Canis lupus familiaris: one gene and its partner. The main gene of each other region encodes a partner of the protein of the gene in region 2 in a complex. Links are inferred from orthologs where the notes say so. Each region holds a gene or a part of one and is shown on either strand. Other genes may lie near its edges.

Region 1 (9,342 bases), on a different chromosome or scaffold from region 2:
GCCGAGATCCCCAGGCTAAGCCTCAGCTGGACTTAAGTATTGACAGCCTGGATTTGAGCTGCGAGGAGGGGACTCCCCTCAGTGTCACCAGGTGAGGCGGCACCCTGCCTCCTTCCTGTCCATGGACTGCCTGCTGTTTGTCAGGCTGTGTCCTGGGTCTAATGAGGCAAAGATGTAGTCTCTTTGCCCTCTGGGAGCTTATCTGTAGAGAAGAAAAAGGAGAAATGGTCACAGGTGTTAGGCCAGATGTTTGTACAGGGTACAATGGGAGTGAAAAGAAACCCAAGCGGTCAGAAGGCTGTCACTCCTGCCTGCAGCCTGCAGAGTTGCTGAAGGCCTATGTGCCTGGGGAATAGAGGGCAGAGGCCAAGAAAGAACCTGGCTGGGATCCCCAATGAAGTTTAGACTTGATCCTAAAGGCATCAGTGAAGGACCTGGGAGGGGTCTGAAATTAAGGACTATGTGGACCAGTTGGCATCTTAGAAAGATTATTTTGACAGCCAGCGTAGAAACTGAGAAACTGTCGGTACTCTTAGGAGAACACTTTAAAAACATCAGTGCATTTATTTAGCCCTCACAGTCCTCTGTGAGGACTGATTATCTCTTTAACAGATGATACTGGGGCAGAGGGGCAGTCATTTGCCCAAGGTCCCACGGTGGCAGAGGTAGGCTTGAACCGGGCCAGGCTGGCTTGAGTCCTTGCTTATCACTGAGCTAGTGCCTCCTCTCAGGTGCCACTAAGTCTAGGTGAGGGGAGATGAGGTGGACCAGGCCAAGGACACCAGAGCAGACTGGGGTGTGGTTAGGTGACTTGTGTAGGTGGGCAGGAGGGAAGTGGTAGGTCTTTGCCCATGTTCATGGATGGCTGGAGGTGTCCAGCTGGAGGCTGCTCCCATTCACTGAAGTAGGAGATGCAGGAGGAACAGATGGGTGGACTTCGTTTGGAGATGTTCACTGCGGAGCTGAGTGTCCGGGGCGGGGTGGATGGGGATGTCTGGGACAGTGGAGTCCAGGAGTTGCCAGTGTTCAGGAGCTCAGAGAGCCACTGGAGTAGATGGGCTCACCAGGAATGGAGAATGGGGTGAAGGGAGGGCCCAGGGCAAAGACTCTTCCCTGGTGCCTCTCAAAAGTCAGAGTGAGAGTGGGGTGCTTGACCTGGTCTGCTTATAAATGTAGGAATTGGCCACTTTGGATCAAAGGAATGAACAAAATGTTTTTTCCACAGCAAGCTGCCCCGAACCCAGCCAGATGGTACCAGCATCCCCGGAGAGCCAGCCTCGCCCATCTCCCAGCGCTTGCCCCCCAAGGTAGAATCCCTGGAGTCTCTCTACTTCACCCCCATCCCTGCTCGGGGTCAGGCCCCACTGGAGAGCAGCCTGGACTCCCTGGGGGACGGCTTCCTGGACTCAGGCCGGAAGACACGCTCTGCTCGTCGGCGCACCACACAAATCATCAACATCACCATGACCAAGGTCAGGCCGCTGGGAGTGGGGCTGCAGGACAGTGCCCTTCCTTGCTCGTAAGGGCGTCTTTCCCATTGGGCCCTCACAACACCCTCCAGAGACGGGCAGGGCTGACTAGTCCATATCTTACAGATGGAAAAGCTAAGACCCCAAGCAGTACAAGGATAGGTGAGGCCTCTTTTGTAGGAAGGGGCAAGGTTAGACCTGGATGCCTCCTGGCTTGGAGGCACTGATCCTGTGCAAGCCGGAGGGAGAGGGAAGTCGTAGCCTCACCCCGGGCCTCCACGCCTCCGAGGTAGCTGCCGTGCACTGTGGCCCCCGCAGAGGGCTGCTCGCCAGGCTGCGGGCTCTGACTGGCCCTTGTCTCCGTATCCTGAGGAGGTTGGGGGGTACGGCAGAGGTCCCCTCTTGTGTGTGGGTTGCCCTTGCTACCAGGAAGCTGGAGAACTACACAATGGGCAGGGCGCTGGCAGGCTTGGGTTGAAGGACGGCAGAAGCTGTGGGAGGAGCCTGATGGCCCCGAGAGACAAGCAGGGGACAAGCAAGCATTGCAGCCCCAGCTCAGCCCTTGCTAGCTGTGGCCTGGAGGTTGATCACTTATTTCCTTGCACTTGGATTCTAAAATGATCTGCTACATACTCTGCCTTCTGCTACTACTATGCACTGTCAGTAGGCAAGAGAAAATGAGGTCACCTCAGCACCTAGTGTAGGAATCTTAGTCCCCAAGCCGAGTTCTTACACATGTGCAGCTAAGGATCCGGGGGGGGGGGGGGGGGGGGGAGGGCAGGGCACGGGACGGGACATGACACACAGTGTGGTGCTGGGATGTGAGGCGCTCAGGGGAGGGGAACAGGCAGCCTCGGCATGGGTTCATGGGTTGTCAGGACTCCGCCCCACCACTTTCATTCTCTCTTCCAGAAGCTAGACGTGGAAGAGCCGGATAGTGCCAATTCCTCCTTCTACAGCACACAGTCGGCCCCTGCCTCCCAGGCCGGCCCACGCGCCACCTCTTCTACCCAGTCTCTAGCTCGCCTAGGCTCCCCTGATGACGGCAACTCGGCTCTGCTCAGCCTTCCTGGCTACCGGCCCACCACTCGCAGCTCTGCTCGCCGCTCCCAGGCTGGGGTGTCCAGTGGGGCCCCTCCAGGTGAGGGGACCAGAGGGGTTTTGCACACACAAAGATGAAGATGAGACGGGGAGGAGATCCTGGCACAGGAAAGAGACAAGCTTTCAAAACCCCGAGGCTGGTTGCCTTCCGGCTCCTCACCTGCCCCTCTTCCTTGCCGTCTCAGGGCCTTGCCTGTTGGTCCAGGGGCTCCGCTGGGCAGAGGGCGGGTGTTCATCTCAGCCAGGGTGAATGGGAACTGCTCACAGGGGGTGGGATTGCCAGTGTGACAGCGACACTCAGCTCCTGTTACCCCATCTCGTGGTAAGGGGTGCCAGAAGAGCCTTGCTGGGCCAGTGTTCTTAGATTCTTGTTGAAGGCTTTTGCCCTCAGGACCCCTAGATCTCAATTCCTTGTCCTTAATTAGTGCCTCTAAGATGTCACAGCCTCTGCAGATGAGCTCTTTGAACCTCCCCAGGGGGAGAGCAGTGAGCCAGCCCTGGTGGTAAAAATGGCCCGTGAGCCCCACTCCTGGATCTGCAGCACTGAGCAGAGCAGGACTCTGGGGCCCTAGGCTTGAAGTAGGTCCACACACAGGGACAGGAGTGGCGGATGCAACGGTTGGCACGGCACCAGGACCAGGGAATGACCCGCTGCCACTCTCCTCACTCTTCCTGGCCTTCCAGCCCCCCTGCTCCCATCTCCCTGCTCTCTCTCCACAGGAAGGAACAGCTTCTACATGGGCACTTGCCAGGATGAACCAGAGCAGCTGGATGACTGGAACCGCATCGCGGAGTTGCAGCAGCGCAACCGGGTGTGCCCCCCACACTTGAAGACCTGCTACCCCCTGGAGTCCAGGGTGAGCTCGGGCCCCATGCTGGCTCCCCTCCTCCTCCTCCCTTGGCACACCACCCCAATACTACCCACTGGCCCTAGTGCCCTGGGTCTCTGGCCTGCTGCAGAGGGTGACGGTGTGCTTCCAGTGGGTAGCTGGCACAGAGGGGCTCGGGGTGAAGTCCCCGTGGGCAGGCCTGAGTGTGTGGAGGAGGTCTGTTCCGGTCTCCTCCTGTGGCCATCGTGTAGGGCAGGAGAGAAGACAACAGGAAGGGAGGCCTGCGGCCCACGGGAAGGCTTGAGCTGCTGAGCTACTGTACGTGCCAGGCCCATGAGTTGTTCTGGGGCAGTTGTGCCCCACTGACCACTCCTTCCACCCCACACAGCCTTCCCTGAGCCTGGCTACCATCACAGATGAGGAGATGAAAACTGGCGACCCCCGGGAGACCCTGCGCCGAGCCAGCATGCAGCCGGCCCAGATAGCCGAGGGCACGGGCATCACCACCCGGCAGCAGCGCAAACGGGTCTCCTCAGAGCCCCACCAGGGCCCTGGTACCCCCGAGGTAGGTGGCCCTGGCTCCTTCTTTATTCCGTGTATAGCTTGCCCAGGCCAAGCCCCGCTACCCAAGTTTGAAAAGTGGATTAATAGAGAGTCTTCACTCTCCAGGGGCTCAATGCAGGGACGGTTGGGAAGGGAGGCGGTGTTGACTTACAGGCCCCCTTGGCTCTGAGAGACACGCCTGGCTCTGGATATGAACCTCTCTTCCCCATAGTCTAAGAAGGCCACCAGCTGTTTCCCACGCCCCATGACTCCCCGGGACCGACACGAAGGGCGCAAACAGAGCACTACTGAGGCCCAGAAGAAAGCCGCTCCGGTTGTTAAGCAGGTCAATGTGGGGGTGGCGGGGTGGATATGACACAGACGCCTGGGTGGCTCAGCCATTGAGTGCCTGCCTTCTGCCCTGGGATCAAGTCCCACATCAGGTTCCTTGCATGGAGCCTGCTTCTCCCTCTCCTTAGGTCTAGGTCTCTCTCATGAATTAAAAAAAAAAAAAAAAAATAGGTCAGTGCGGGAGGCTGGAGGGAGCCCCTGGAGGGACCTTGGTGGCAGGGCATGAACGCAGCCCAGTCTGACAGCCCCTCCCTCCCCAACAGGCTGACCGCCGCCAGTCAATGGCTTTCAGCATCCTCAATACACCCAAGAAGCTCGGAAACAGCCTGCTGCGGAGGGGAGCCTCAAAGAAAGCCCTGTCCAAGGCCTCCCCCAACACCCGTGGCGGGACCCGCCGCTCTCCACGCATCGCCACCACTGCAGCCAGCGCTGCCACGGCGGCTGCCATCGCTGCTGCCACTGCCACCCCTCGGGCCAAGGGCAAGGTGGAGGCACTGATGGGGAAGGGAAGTGGGTAGAAGTATGGCACACCCCCAGGCCACCCCTCGGGAGGTTTCCAAGGCAGGGCCCAGCTAGGCTGCTGGAGGTGGGCTAAATGTGGGCACTTCCTGTCTTGGTTACCTGCTCGTGGAAGAGAGGAGACCCAAGGCTGTTTAGGCACAGCCGGGATCCAATAATCTGCAAGTAGATGTGTCCAGGTCACCCCATGGAAGGGAAGGTAGTCAGGGGGCTTCAGGAGCTAAAAGAGGCCTCCTGCAGCCATCCGGTACAGGCTGGTATCACGAGTTGTCAGCCAAGTGATTGTGTTTCTCTCTTTTAGGCAAAGCACTAAAGGGCCAGGACCAGTGAGAGGCCCCACCTGTGTCCTCAATGCCGACCTCGCCTGGTCCTTTTCCTTCTGCTGTCCCTTTCAGTGCCTTCTCTCAGCTCCCAGGCCAAAAGTGGCCAAACCCGTAGAGACAGTGATGTCTGCCCACACCCCGGCCTGGTACCTCGATCTTCATTGGAGCCTTCACTAGGTGAACAGATGTGTCCTCAGAGTTGGCCCCAGAGGCCTGGAGAGTCTAGGTCTTCTCCCTACCTTGCCTCATGTTTTCATAAAGCAAAGTCGCTTGTCCATCACAACCAGACTTGAGGCCGGCTTTGAGCGGCTGGGCCTGAGGGCTGAGTCAGTCCTCCTCAGCCTCTGGATTCACAAGGGACCATTGGAGGAGCAGGCCCCAGTCCCTGCTGCTCCTGGTTCCCGAATCTAGCAGGGCCCTTTGCTTTTTGAAGTCCAGGACTTGGCATTGACCTAGTGGGTGCACCCAGAGGTTCTCCCATCCACCAAAAGGCTCAGATGCCCAGAGATGCTCTTTTCCAGAACAGATGGGTCCCATGCCTGTGTGTGGCAGCAGGGGCAGCAGGGTGGGGTCGGGGGGCCGCCTCAGCTGCCGCTTATTTCCCACCTTCCCCAGACTTCTACTGGGGTGGGATTTGGAGTGATGGGAAGGTTTTTAAGGGCCAGGGATGGATCTTTTCTAAATGTTATTACTTGTAAATAAAGTCTATTTTTCTCCCTTAAGTGCGGTCTGGGTCTGTGGGGGAAGGGGAAATGTAGGCTCTTTAGAGCACAAGTTTTCCAGACTACCTACCTTCTCCAATCCTTTCTCCTGGTCTTTCTGGGGCACCAGGATCTTTCCACACTTTCTCCTCTTTTGAAGGCTGGTATCCCCTGGTTTTGGCCTTTAGCTTCTGAATAACAGTCCCTCTTCCCACACTCCCTCCTAGAAGGAGCCAAGTTCTGTAAGTGGAATGATGGCTTAAATGACAGAGCAGATGCCTTCATTGACAAACCATTTATGCATGTCCCTGTGGGCCCTGCTGGGTGTGACAGAGACACAGCTGGGGACCAGACACAGCGTTCACCCCTGTCCCTTAGTGGGGACAGTGCATTAGAAGGAAAAAGGAAGAATACAACATGAAGGCAATGCCGGAGGAGGCCTGAGTTGTGAGAGCATGGAGACCTCAGTGAAGATGTGACGACTCAATTAGGCTTCAGAATTTCTCCGTCGTGATGAGGCGGGAGAGGGGGCTGCTGGAGGGTGGGGCTTCTTGGGTAGAAGGCGCCACAGTCTCCAGCCCAGCCTGGGGAAGAGAAGGCAGACAAGGGTCAGCGCCAAGGGTGGCTGACCTCTCGTCACCTTCCTCCAAGCCATGCCTCCCCTGCCCGAGTCCTGAACTCCACGGTGGACATTAGCTGGAGGCCACTCTGGGCAGAGCCCACCCTTTCCTCCCCATACTGCTCCTGCTGTCCGTGGAAACCTTCCCTCAGTTTTCTCACCCAGAGCTGGGCCAGGACAACATGCTGCTGGGTAGTGTGCGAGGGATCAGCAAAGACACAAGAGAAGTCGGTGTTGCGCAGGGTGGGGCTCAGCTCCTCTAGCACCAGAGTCCTCCGCAGCTGGGTGTGTTCACCCCTGGACTCCCTGCTAAAGAGGAGTGAAGGCCATGAGAGGATGGCAGAAGAAGCCCCTCTCCCCGCCCCCCTCCAACCATGTTGGCTGACCTCCCCACCGCACTCCTCACCTGGTGCTGCCCTCCCTCAGCCGACCTGGGAGGTGCTCGATGAAGGAGCCATTGCCCATCCAGAAGAGGATGTTGAAGGGAGAGCGGCTGCAGGCAGTACAGGACAAGGTCAGCATTCCATCTAAAGACACGTGTGGCTGTTAGCTCCCCTCTGCCGTGCTGCCCTGCCCCCAAGTCCCCCAGTCCCCACAATTCAGGAACCCAGAGTGCTGTTGTACGCACCACCCAGGTGGGGAAGTCCGTTAACTGGGAAGTGTACTTGTTTACAAGGGAGGCCCAAGGCTGAACAAAAGGGATCTGGGGATGGGTCCTTGGTTCAGGTGAGGACTCCTGAGCCTGTTTTCTTCAGGATGGCCTTTTCTAGTGTTCACCATTGGTGACTAAGAGCCCTGGCCAAGGAGGCGGCAGCAGGAGGCCACTGCTCTTCTGAGGTGGCCAGCGAGTGAGGGGGCTGGAGACTGGAGTCGGGGTGGGCAGGCGGGCCTTGTAACGTATTGCAGTCAAGGCCCTGGGGCCCTCTGACCATCCTTGTGTCTGAACTCTTTCCATCCCACCGGATAGGGAGCATCTCAGGAGCTGGGCCCTGTACCCACACTCACTCGGAGGGAACATGCCGAGTGCTCTAGCAGGCTGGCCTGGCTGGTGGGGCTACATGGCAGTAGGTGGGGTAGGGTGGGAAGCTCGGGAATCAACCCCACCCTTGGACTCTCTGTGCCCCAAACCCACCCCTGCCCACTATGTCCTTTGGGGCTTCCATCAGAATTGCTCCTTACTCAGCGGGACTTCCACTTCTGGCCCGGTCACCTCCAGTGCTGGGCACTGCTTAGCTGTCAGGAGCCAGGAGAGGCAGGAGTCCTTTGTGATCCCAGCTGAGGCAGCAGCAGTGGCCTGAGGTACAGGTGTGGCTCCAGCCAGGTGACAGAACATGTGCACACACAAAAGCAGGACCCGCAAAGGGCTGGGATCTGAGAGCAGGACACAAAGGCCAGGGCTGTCTGCTAGGAATGCTCAACATCCTGGCCTGGACACACTCTGGCGCAGAGATACCTGGGCTCTGCACAGGGGGTCAGAGGAGCAGAAGGGTTCCTCAGGCCCCGCATGTTGGAATGGAGCGCAGGGAGACTTAGGGACTGGAGCCAGAACCACAGCATCTGGACACAGGCTGAAAGCCGTAACAGCAGAATGGAGTTCCCTCGGGGGGGAAGGCTCAGGGCCGCCTGCACGGCTCCCTTCTGTTCTCAAATCCCACCCCCCACCCCCGACCCCCCGCCCATGCCAGCCCCAGGTCCCACCTGATGTCCAGTTCTGTCTCATGGTCTTGACGGATGTGTCAAGAGCTGGCGTGCCTGGCTCTATTTATCTGTGACCACTTCCTCCTCTCTCGAGCTGGGGGCGGAAGAGAATGTAAATCAACCATTTATCTCACATCTCTGGCTTGCCTGGATCCCAGCCATTTGTATGGGCCTGTCCTTCCTGTATATTCCACAGCTCTTCCTGGGTCTGACCTCTGAATGGGCTGCCAGGCACTGCTACTTTGCTCCAGGCATCCAGCAAAGGCTGGGGCTTTCCGCACTTAGCAACAAAGCTAAAGACCATCTAGTGACAGTCTTTCCCCATCCTACTAGCTCTTAGTACCATTAACATGCTGATTATGAGTCCACCCTAACTAACCCCTTCATTACAGGGATGAAGAAAGGGACCCAGAGAGGGGCCAGGGACACTACTACAAAGAGAGGCAAAGCCCTCTTTGCTGGAGCTGGTTCTGGGAAGGGCAGGATTAGTGAAGTCCTGCTGGGAAAGCACTGCCCGCCCCCCCTATTTCACTTTCGCTTTTTTTAACTGGGAAATCTAAAGCAGGCTCTGAGTAACAAGTTACACAAGCAAGATGCCAGCCTGTACACTGCACTTCTGGAACCAAAATTCATGGTGGCCTGGAATCTTCCTGCCCCCTTGGCTTTACCCTCCCAGGGATACAGATGGTATGAACTCATGAAGAGTCTCTCACAGGTGGATTCTTCTGTCCCAGCCAAGGGTCAGAACTTTGGCGTCCACCTTTGCTCTTCAGAACCAGCCCTTGCTTCTACATGAGCAGGCCTCATGTTCTTTCACATTCACACCGATATTCAAGGGGTCAACTCTCCTAGTTACTGGAGACCCCAAGTTGGATCACTTTGACCATTTCAGGGTCACATCAGTCTATCATCCTGGCCTTTCTCTGGCTTGCTACTCCCTCCAACCCCCACCCACCCATCACCCCTGCACAGCCTTCTCGCTTATCTCATCCCAGCCCCTTGGCCAGAGCTATAGGTCTAGGTTCACTAGGAAGTCTAGACCTCTCCCTACCTGGCTCTCGAGAAGCCCTGAGGAGCCCTCTTTTTCAGAATCCCCGTTCTTGAAGCTCCACTCAGTCCGGCTGTGTTCGGCCCCGCGTAAGCCATGCCTCAGGAACTATGCTGACAGCACCCTCCGGCCTTGTGTGC
Region 2 (9,467 bases):
TCTTGCTAAACAAAAGCCTCTTATTGCCAAACCTTCTGCAAAGTTGCTCTTTGTCAACAGATTAAAGGGGAAAAAGTGCAAAACTAATTCCTCCACTAAAGTTCTCCAGGATGCCAGTAATTCCATTGATCGCCGAATTCCAAATTCTCAGAGGGTACGTATAATAATAAGTTTTTGAGTGTTGTGCTTCAAATATCTACATTTTAGTTTTCTTGTATTCAGACTGAATATTCCGTAATTTGTATTAGACATTTAATACAAAATACTGTTTTTATTCAAAGAAGTCTTGCATATTTCCCTATCTTTTCTTTTTCAAGCTAGAAACTATAATTACTCCATTCATGGATATGTTGCTTTACTACTTTGGATAGTAATTGTTTGTCATTGTTTGCAAAAATACTATCTTTTTTTTTTTTTTTTTTTTTTTTACTGCAGTGTCTCCCAGTAAAACTGTCCTTCTTTCAGTTTAGAAGTTAGAACAAATTAAACTTAGAGGTTGAAGGATTTTAAAATACTAATTTAAGATAGTATCTGCTAGCATCAATTTCTATTTATTTATACTGAAATTATAATAGAATTAAAAACTATTTTGATGAAAAGTGATCACAGGACTCAGATTACTAAATATAACTATATAATATTTTATTTCTAAATATCAGAAGTATCTTTAATTAAGCTAACCTGCACTCTGATAAAAGAATCAAAATAAATCACAAAGATGATACGTCAAATTATCAAGTCCATTTTTCAATGAGAGCTTTTGGAAAACTTATGGTAGTCTTTTTCTTTCTTTCTTTCTTTCTTTCTTTCTTTCTTTCTTTCTTTCTTTCTTTCTTTCTTTCTTTCTTTCTTTCTTTCTTTCTTTCTTTTCTTTCTTTCTTTCTTTTCTTTCTTTTCTTTCTTTCTTTCTTTCTTTCTTTCTTTCTTTCTTTCTTTCTTTCTTTCTTTCTTTCTTTTCTTTCTTTCTTACAGCTTTCTTTTGGTTCTCTTATCAGCATTCCACCTATGTCTGTACCCTGGTGGTGTCCTTTGTCTTGATTTTTATCAGTAGTTTTTTCCAAGTGTATGACTAACAAAAGGAAATATTATGGGGTATATAATGGACCATGAATATTTTTTTAGACCTAGAGCAGATCTCAGAGGCATACCTTTGTTCAAGGTTTGAGGTCTTAACTAAGCCCACTTAGCCCAACTGAAAATGTCCATACTTCTGAGGCCTCCCTGTGTTTTGATGTTCAGTATTTTGAATTCAAGCCTTTTTTGCCCCTAGGAAAGTCTTGTGAGTGATTACAAGTGCATCTGACTACAGCTTATGTACATACTTAATCCCAGTCCTCAAACTAAACATGTTAAGAACTGTACTCTGAACCCCTCCTGTTTCCCTTAATATATGCCATGTTCTCTGTCCCCCAGGTTAGGAACCCAGGTGTCATTCTAGACTCCCTCTTTTCACTAACCACATCCAGTCAATCCCTGCATCCCTCAGATCTGCCTCCGGCCCCTTCTTTCTGAAAATAAACCTCTGCTGCTATGTATGTCATAGTCCTTAGTGCATTACTGTATCTCTTACCCAGATGTTTGGAATAGGCAACTGAGCTGATTGCTTTCCCTGCATTAACCTCTGCAGCCATTTGGAGGGGCCAGTTCTGTTTCTGTTCAAAGCTGCTTAAAATTATTATTACCAATGCTCCTCTTACTTCATATAGGATAACTTGTTAGTATGTCATACAGAGGCTCTTGTTTGGTGGCCTCTTCCCACCTCTTCACCTCTCCTACCCCCTTTAGTTCATTATCCCCTGAATACTACAAACTTTTAGCATCGCATATTAATCACTATGAAGCATATACCTGTAAATGTGAATTCATTCTTCAGGAGCCAATTCAAATATCACAGTTTCCCTAAAGGATTAGTTTTGCCCGTCTCCTGAAGCCTATAATTTTTTATATAAATGTACCTCTACCATAATACTTATATCATTATGAAAAACAAAATATTTTTTATTAAACATTGCATCTGTCATTTTAAGCTTTGAAGTTTCCAAGTAAAGTATGACGGGTTTCCTTCTGCCCTAAATATTTATTTATATGAGGTTTATGTTTTTTTAAAGAGCTTCAAATCTTTAAATATAGTAAAGGACCTTGGAAAATCACTATGCTTTGTTAGTTTTAAGTTCTTAGAGAGATTAATTTACTTTTAAATTCTTTTGTAGAATCTTAAAACTGAACTTTGAGCCTAGGATCACTTAATTTTTATATAAATCTTTTAGTATCTGAAGTAGTTCCCCAGAGTCTGAGGTACATTTCTTTAGCCTTAGAAATTACAAGGATTAAAAATTAAAATACATAACTAGAATAAATAAAATATAACGAGAAATGCTTTTTATTAGTTGGATTGAAATAACTTTATTATCAAGGTTGCCATCTTGAAATCTTTATAATGAAAATGTCAATTTTTATTTTTAATCTTCATCCTTTATCTTTTGCATATGTATCATGATTTTGCTCCATTGATGATGTGATGATAATGCTGGAATATTAAGATTTTTCTCTCAATATTTCAGAAAGTCAGTACAGATACTATTGGAGATGAAGGGTTCTTTGACCTGGTAAGCCGATTTCAGAGCAATCGGATGGATGATCAGAGGTGCTGTTTACAGGAACAGAGCTGTGGGCCAGCTTCAACTGCAGCGTCTTCCACTCCCCCTAGAGTGATGCTTAAAAGTGAGTAATTGTGGTTCTCCCCCAATTTTAATAGTTTCCTTTGATATTCGTGTGATTTCTTTCTGAGAGTTCAGTTTTCTTCAGTGCAAGTACAGTAAATGAACCTGAACCCAGGTGTATCTGAAATGCTGGTATTTCTTCAGTTCAGAACAAAGTTTTGTTTCAGTTCCCCTAGGTTTATTTGTATTTTAGTTCAGTGCACTTTCAACTAACTGTAACATACTGTCTCCTTAGAGTCTTTGGGACTGGGAAAAAAATCTAACTTTAAAAGTAAAAATAGTAAAGGGAAAAATTTAAGTTATACATACCTTATAATTCTGTGTAAATCACAAATGCTTCCTATCTGGATTTTTATTTTTATTTTTTTTTTAAATTTTTATTTATTTATGATAGTCACAGAGAGAGAGAGAGAGAGAGAGAGGCAGAGACACAGGCAGAGGGAGAAGCAGGCTCCATGCACCGGGAGCCCGATGTGGGATTCGATCCCGGGTCTCCAGGATCGCGCCCTGGGCCAAAGGCAGGCGCCAAACCACTGCGCCACCCAGGGATCCCCCTATCTGGATTTTTAAAAAGCCAAGACAGACTGAGGAGAAACCTATGACTAAGGCGGAAGCTAAGGCCTGCCTGAGCCTTAGAAGGGTTACTTAAAATTTTCTACTTCAGCTACCAAAAGACTTCCTCTGCCATAGACTAGGACTTAACTCTTAGTTAGCTAAATGGTTCCTATCCAGGGCATAGAATAAAGACTGTCTCATTCATCCTCACGTGAGAAATGATATAAGACAATGTATTACCTTCTGAAATCTAGCCCCAGATCTTGTAGAGTTATCTTTTTGGGGGGCAGTAGGCTCCATGCCCAGCATAGAGCCCAACACAGGGCTCAAACTCAACGACCATAAGATCAAGACCTGAGCTGCGATCAAGAGTTGAACACCTAACTGACTGAGCCACCTAGGCACCCCTTGTAAAGTTATATTTTGAGTGGGCATAGATAAAAAGAAATATAGTCTAATCTGAATAACCTTTAAGTGGATCATCTGAAGTACTCTGGGATTTGTTCTTCCCTACCTGCCCATATCATAGGCCCCAGTGTATCAGTGACTCTCAGTGACAAAGCTAAAGCAGGGGGACAGAGTGGATGTTGGGACTGAACAAGGCTGAAAGGAACTATATGTATATTAAAAATATGCTTAAATATTTTTGTGATGTTACGGATTTTTTTCCTATTCATAGCACCATCTGTTTCCATGGTGTCCCCCAACACGGATGAGTTTTTAGACCTTCTTGCCAGCTCACAGAGCCGCCGTCTTGATGACCAAAGGGCCAGTTTCAGTAATTTGCCAGGGCTTCGTCTAACACAAAACAACAATAAGTCTGTACTTGGCCACCTGATGACTAATGACAACAAAGAGCCTGATGAAGATTTCTTTGACATCCTTGTAAAATGTCAAGTATGTATGCATATTTTTGTCATTCTGTGTATGGCTCAGATACTGTTGAGAGCTTTGGCAGTATTATAATTCTAATCTGGGAAGGGCTTATTTTGTATTAGGGACACACTTACCATTCAGGGGTCCATCAGACTCTTTAGATTCCTATGATAGTTTCTTTGTATCATTTTGGGTGGTAAGGCAAGATGAGATGTTGCTGATGACTCTGAGCTGTGGTGGAGAGGAAATTATGAAAGGTAGGGAAGGAGACCTAGAAAAGACACCCTCTTTTATCAATGGTAGGAGAGAGTATCAGGAAAAGCCAGTGATTAATGGGGAGAGTCTAGCGGGAGCCCTTTCTAGACTGCTTTAGGAGAAATTCACATACCAAGATAGCTTTCGTTTTTAGTTATTTTAATAATTATTTGCCAAAATGGTTAAGGAATATCTCAAATGGCTTGAATAGAACCAGAAAAATAATCCTTATTTTCACTAAAGAGACATTTCCTCTGTCTGACCCTGATTCTGTGTGTTTTCTCATTCATAAAAAGATGAGGTAATGACATAATGACACATACATACTACCTACCTCTCATTCATTCAACAGAAAATTATTGAGCGTACACTGTGTTCTTGGCACTAGTCTAGACATTTGAGACACATACTTGGCCTTTAAAGGAGCCTACATTTTAGGATCCTTTAGGAGAGACAGTAAATAAGTCTGTACATATGTATAGATATTATATGTTAGACACTGATACTTGCTATAAAGAAAATTAAAGCCACATAAAGGAGTAAGGTATCTAGTGGTGGTGGTGGTTAGGGAAGATGTTCCATGTGAACAGAGATCTGAATGAGGCAAAACAGCCATGTGAATATTTAGTGGAAGCATTCCATGCAGACACAGCAAGTCTCTTCTTGGCTATAAAAGCTTAGCAGGTTCAAGGAATGGCAAGGTTGCCAGTATGACCGGTGTGGAGTGAATAAAGGGTAAGGGAGAGCAGTAGGAGATGAGGATGGAGAAAGAACCAGCCTAGATCTTATAGGCTATGATGAGGTCTTGTATCCCAAATGTGATAGTAAGACATTGGAGGGTCTGGAAGATCATCCCAGCTACTGCTGAAAGTATGTGAAGTGCCAAAGAGTTAGTAGGAAAACTAGCTAAAAAACCAGTATGGGGGGATACCTGGGTGGCTCAGTGGTTGAGCATCTGCCTTTGGCTTGAGGCATGATCCTGGAGTTCTGGGATCAGGTCCCACATTGGGCTTCCTGCGTGGAGCCTGCTTCTCCCTCTGCCTGTGTCTCTGCCTCTCTCTCTGTGTCTTTCATGAATAAATAAATAAAATCTTGAAAAAAGAAAAGAAAGAAAACCAACATGGGTAATTCAGGGAAAAGATACTGGTGACTTTGACTAGTGTAATGGTGTTAGGAGAGATGATAAGTAGCAGTTGAAATAGGGATATATTTTGAAGTTATGGTTGGATTGGAAAGACCTATTAATAAATGGATGGGAGTTATAAGAAAGAAAAATAATCAAAGAGGGTTCCAACCTTGTTGGCTTTGAACAACTGAATCTGTGAATGGTACAGTTTACTGAAATGGAGAAGTCAAAGGAGAAAGAGGTTTGGGAAGAAAAAGCAGGAGATGTACTTTAGGTAGATAAATTTGAGTTATGTAAGTAGATACTCAAGTGGAGATGTTGAATAAGCAATTGGATATATAAAAATCTGGAGCCCCAGAGAGAAAAGACTTGGGGAGTCATCCGCTATATACTGATGACTGGTATATAGCTGGTATTAAAGCTTTGGGAAGATAGTATCTAAAGAATAGATAAGGAAACACGAAGACTAAGCTCTGGGCATTACAAAATTGAACGGAATAGAGGAAGATAAGCCAGCAAAGCAGCCATCAGCCTGGAGGAATGCTTTCACTAAATATTCACATGGCTGTTTCACCTCATTCATATCTCTGTTCACATGCCAGTCCTGGAACATCTTCCTTAACCACCAACACCCCTAGATACCCTACTCCTTTATATGGCAAAGTGTTTTAAGGAATGTTGAACTCTGTCAAACGCTGCTAAGAAGCCAACTAAGATGATGGCTGATCTAGATTTGGCAACATGCAGATTATTAGTCATTTTGAAAGACACTGTTTTAGGGACATGATGGGGACACAGGATTGAGGAGGTTGAAAACATGGAAAGCGTGAAGGGGGAAATAGTAAACATAGGATAGAGGTGGGGTTTTTTTTTCTTATTTTGGGAGTTAATACTGCATGTCTCTTGATGTAAATGATCAAGTAGAGGGAAGAACCAGTGATGCAGCAGAATATGGGATAATTGAAGTTTTTGTGCAGGTGAGAAGGAAAGCAGAATATATATATATATATGTTTACAGATTTAGAGATAGGTGTAGATAGGACTTCTCTCTGGTTGTTTTTATTTTCTTAGCAAAGTAAGAAGTAGGGACATAATTGGAGATTGGGGTTGAAGCATTGTGATTTTGAAGAAGTTACTTTGAGAAACTGAAAGCATATTGACCAGGGAAAAGTAATAGGATTATTGAGCTACCCTGAGGACTCATTTGAAATTCACTGTCACTGAAGTAAGACAGGTCAGTACAGTGGTGTATTTTCTCGAGGCATAACCAGTTACTTAAGGATACAGAGATTTAATCAAGGTCAGTATTTTGACAGAATAGGATGGAGGGAGAGAGAAACACATGCCAGGGAATGATTTTAATAAGGGACTTGAAATCTAGGCTGCATCTAAGAAGGGAAAGTAAGGAAATGAAAGGTTTAGAAGTGAAAAGTAACAGTGATCCCATGGGTTTTTAAAAAAATTCTAAAGACCCATAACTAATTACAGACCATCAGATAGATATAAATGAAGCAAAAACTGACAGCATTAAAGGGAGAAGTGAACATTTCTACAAAAATAGTTGGAGCACCCTCTCTCAATAATAAGTAGGACAGCCAGGCAGATGATAAAATGAACAACACAATAAACCAGCTAGTTCTTATAGAACATACTTTTCTCTCTCTCTCTCTCTCTCTCTCTCTCTCTCTCTCTCTTTTTTTTTTTTTTTTTTTTTTAAGATTTTAGTTATTCATGAGAGACACAGAGAGCTGGCAGAGACACAGGCAGAGGGAGAAGCAGACTCCCTCCAGGAGAGCTCAATGTGGGACTTGAGACCAGGACCCTGGGATCACACCCTGAGCCAGAGACAGATGCTCAACCACTGAGCCACTCAGGCATCCCCAGAACATATATTCTTCTCAAGTGCATATGGAATATTCTCCAGGATAGCTCAGATGTTAGGCCACAAAAGAAGTCTCAAAATTTTAAAAGATAGATATCATATAGAGTATCTTCTCTGACCATAACAGGATGAAGTTAGAAGCAATAACAGAAGAAAAAATGGAGAATTCACAAATTTGTGGGAATTAATGGGCAGAGAAAAATCACAAGGGAAATTAAAAAATACCTAGAGACTGATGAAAATGAAAACACAATATTCCAAAACTCTGGGATGTAGTGAAGGTAGTACTTAGGAATTTTATAGCTGTAAATGTTTACAATAAAAAAGATCTCAAATCAACAGCCTAAAGCTTTAGACCTTAAGGGGCTAGAAAAAGAACAAACTAAATCTAAAGTTAGCACAAGGAAGGAAACGGAGAACAGAAAAATAGAAAAAAATAAAACCTTAAACCTGGTTATTTGAAAAGTTTAACAACTGGTAAACATTGAATACAACTGGTAAACATTTAACTAGGGGAAGGAAAAGGGCAGGCTCAAATTACTAAAATTAGAACAAAAGAGGGGACATTACTCTTATTCTACAGAAATAAAAAGAATTTTAGGAGAATACTATGAATGATTATGTGCCAACAAGTTGGATAACCCATATGAAATGGACTTAAATAACTAGAAACACAAAATCAACCAACACTAAATCATGAATAGAAAATAGACCCATAATCTGCAAGATTATATCGGTAATAAAAAACCTCCTGACAGAGAAAAGCCCTGGTTCTGATGGCTTCACTGGTGAATTCTACCAAACATTTAAAGAGGTAACACCAGTCCTCATACTTTTCCAGATAACTGAAGAGAGGAATTAGGAATGCTTCCTATTCTGAAATCCTTCTATGAGGTCATTATTGCCATGATGCCAAAGCCAAACAAAACACTACTGTTTTGAAAAGAAAACTATGTGGCCATATCCATTTTGAATATAGATGCAAAAATCATCAATAAAATACTAGCAAACAGAATCCAGTAAAAAGATTATACACCATGCCCAGGTGTAATTTGTTCCTGAAATGCAAGGATGGTTCAACATAGGGGAAATCAGTCTATTACATACATCACATTAATAGAAAGTGAAAAAAACCTCAATAATCTAAATTGATGTGGAAAAGCATTTGACAAAATTCAACACATTTTCTTGTTAAAAACACTCAACAAATTAGGAATAGTGAGAAACTATCACACCATTATAAAAGTCATTTTGGGGGGATACCTGGATGGCTCGGTTGGTTGGGTCCAGCTCTTGAATTCAACTCAGGATTGTGAAATTGAGCACTGTGTGGGGGGAGCTCTGTGCTTGGCTCAGTCTGCTTGTCCCTCTCCCTCTTGCCCTATGTGTGCATGCTGTCTCTCAAATAAATAGATAAAGTCTTTTAAAATCATTTATGAATTACAGCTGCCATCATACTCAATGGTAAAAGGCAAAAGCTTTTCTCTCAGATCAGGAACAAGACAAGGAGCTCATTTTTGCTACCTCTATTCAATGTAATACTGGAACTTCTAGCAGAGCAATTAGGCAAAAAAAAGAAAAGCATCTAGATTGGAAAGGAAAACGTAAAATCATTCAGAAATGACAGTCTTCTATATAGAAAACCGTAAAGATTTCACCAAAAACAACAACAACAACAAAAAAAAAAACAACCAAAATCCCTGTACAACCAAGAAATTCAGCAAAATAACGGGAATACAAAATTAATATCCAAAAATCAGTTGTGTTTCCATACACTAACAATGAACAGACTAAAAAGGAAATTAAGAAAACAGTTATTCTTAAAATAGCATCAAAAAGAATGAGCTACTCCAGAATGAACTTAGCCAGGGAGGTGAAAGACTTGAACAATGAAAACTACAATTTCTTAAAGAATGAAACCTCATAAATAAAATGGAAAAGAATCTTATGTTCATGAATTAGAAGATTTAATATTCTTAAAATGCCAGTAACCACCCAGAGTATAATCTATACATTTAATGCACTCCTTATCCAAATGTAAGTAAGGTTTTTT

The links.
Region 1: the proteins of GPSM2 (region 2) and NUMA1 are in contact, whole or in part, in a crystal structure (PDB 6HC2), measured with the Homo sapiens proteins. The link is inferred for Canis lupus familiaris from reciprocal best matches to the Homo sapiens genes GPSM2 and NUMA1. Residues at the interface, in NP_001307967.1 of Homo sapiens: Ala28, Leu29, Glu32, Cys35, Lys36, Phe47, Lys59, Thr60, Ser62, Ala63, Ile64, Ser66, Gln67, Asn70, Ala71, Phe73, Asn110, Lys113, Tyr146, His153, Lys157, Pro164, Gln165, Arg203, Gly206, Asn207, Asn210, Tyr213, Leu214, Arg228; in NP_006176.2 of Homo sapiens: Ser1901, Phe1902, Tyr1903, Met1904, Gly1905, Thr1906, Cys1907, Gln1908, Asp1909, Glu1910, Pro1911, Glu1912, Leu1914, Asp1916, Trp1917, Asn1918, Arg1919, Ile1920, Ala1921, Leu1923.

What each region holds. Positions count from the first base shown.
Region 1 is NC_049242.1:26,188,510-26,197,851, forward strand, and holds the end of NUMA1 (nuclear mitotic apparatus protein 1), read left to right. Parts: coding exon 1-91; intron 92-1,225; coding exon 1,226-1,472; intron 1,473-2,381; coding exon 2,382-2,610; intron 2,611-3,290; coding exon 3,291-3,427; intron 3,428-3,788; coding exon 3,789-3,965; intron 3,966-4,175; coding exon 4,176-4,289; intron 4,290-4,557; coding exon 4,558-4,779; intron 4,780-5,114; coding exon 5,115-5,126; 3' UTR 5,127-5,858; downstream 5,859-9,342. Other genes in the region: IL18BP (interleukin-18-binding protein), read right to left, coding at 6,332-6,421, 6,618-6,765, 6,863-6,978. UniProt on the Homo sapiens protein: Microtubule (MT)-binding protein that plays a role in the formation and maintenance of the spindle poles and the alignement and the segregation of chromosomes during mitotic cell division.
Region 2 is NC_049227.1:43,296,905-43,306,371, reverse strand, and holds part of GPSM2 (G-protein-signaling modulator 2), read left to right. Parts: coding exon 1-154; intron 155-2,561; coding exon 2,562-2,721; intron 2,722-3,954; coding exon 3,955-4,172; intron 4,173-9,467. UniProt on the Homo sapiens protein: Plays an important role in mitotic spindle pole organization via its interaction with NUMA1. Required for cortical dynein-dynactin complex recruitment during metaphase. Plays a role in metaphase spindle orientation.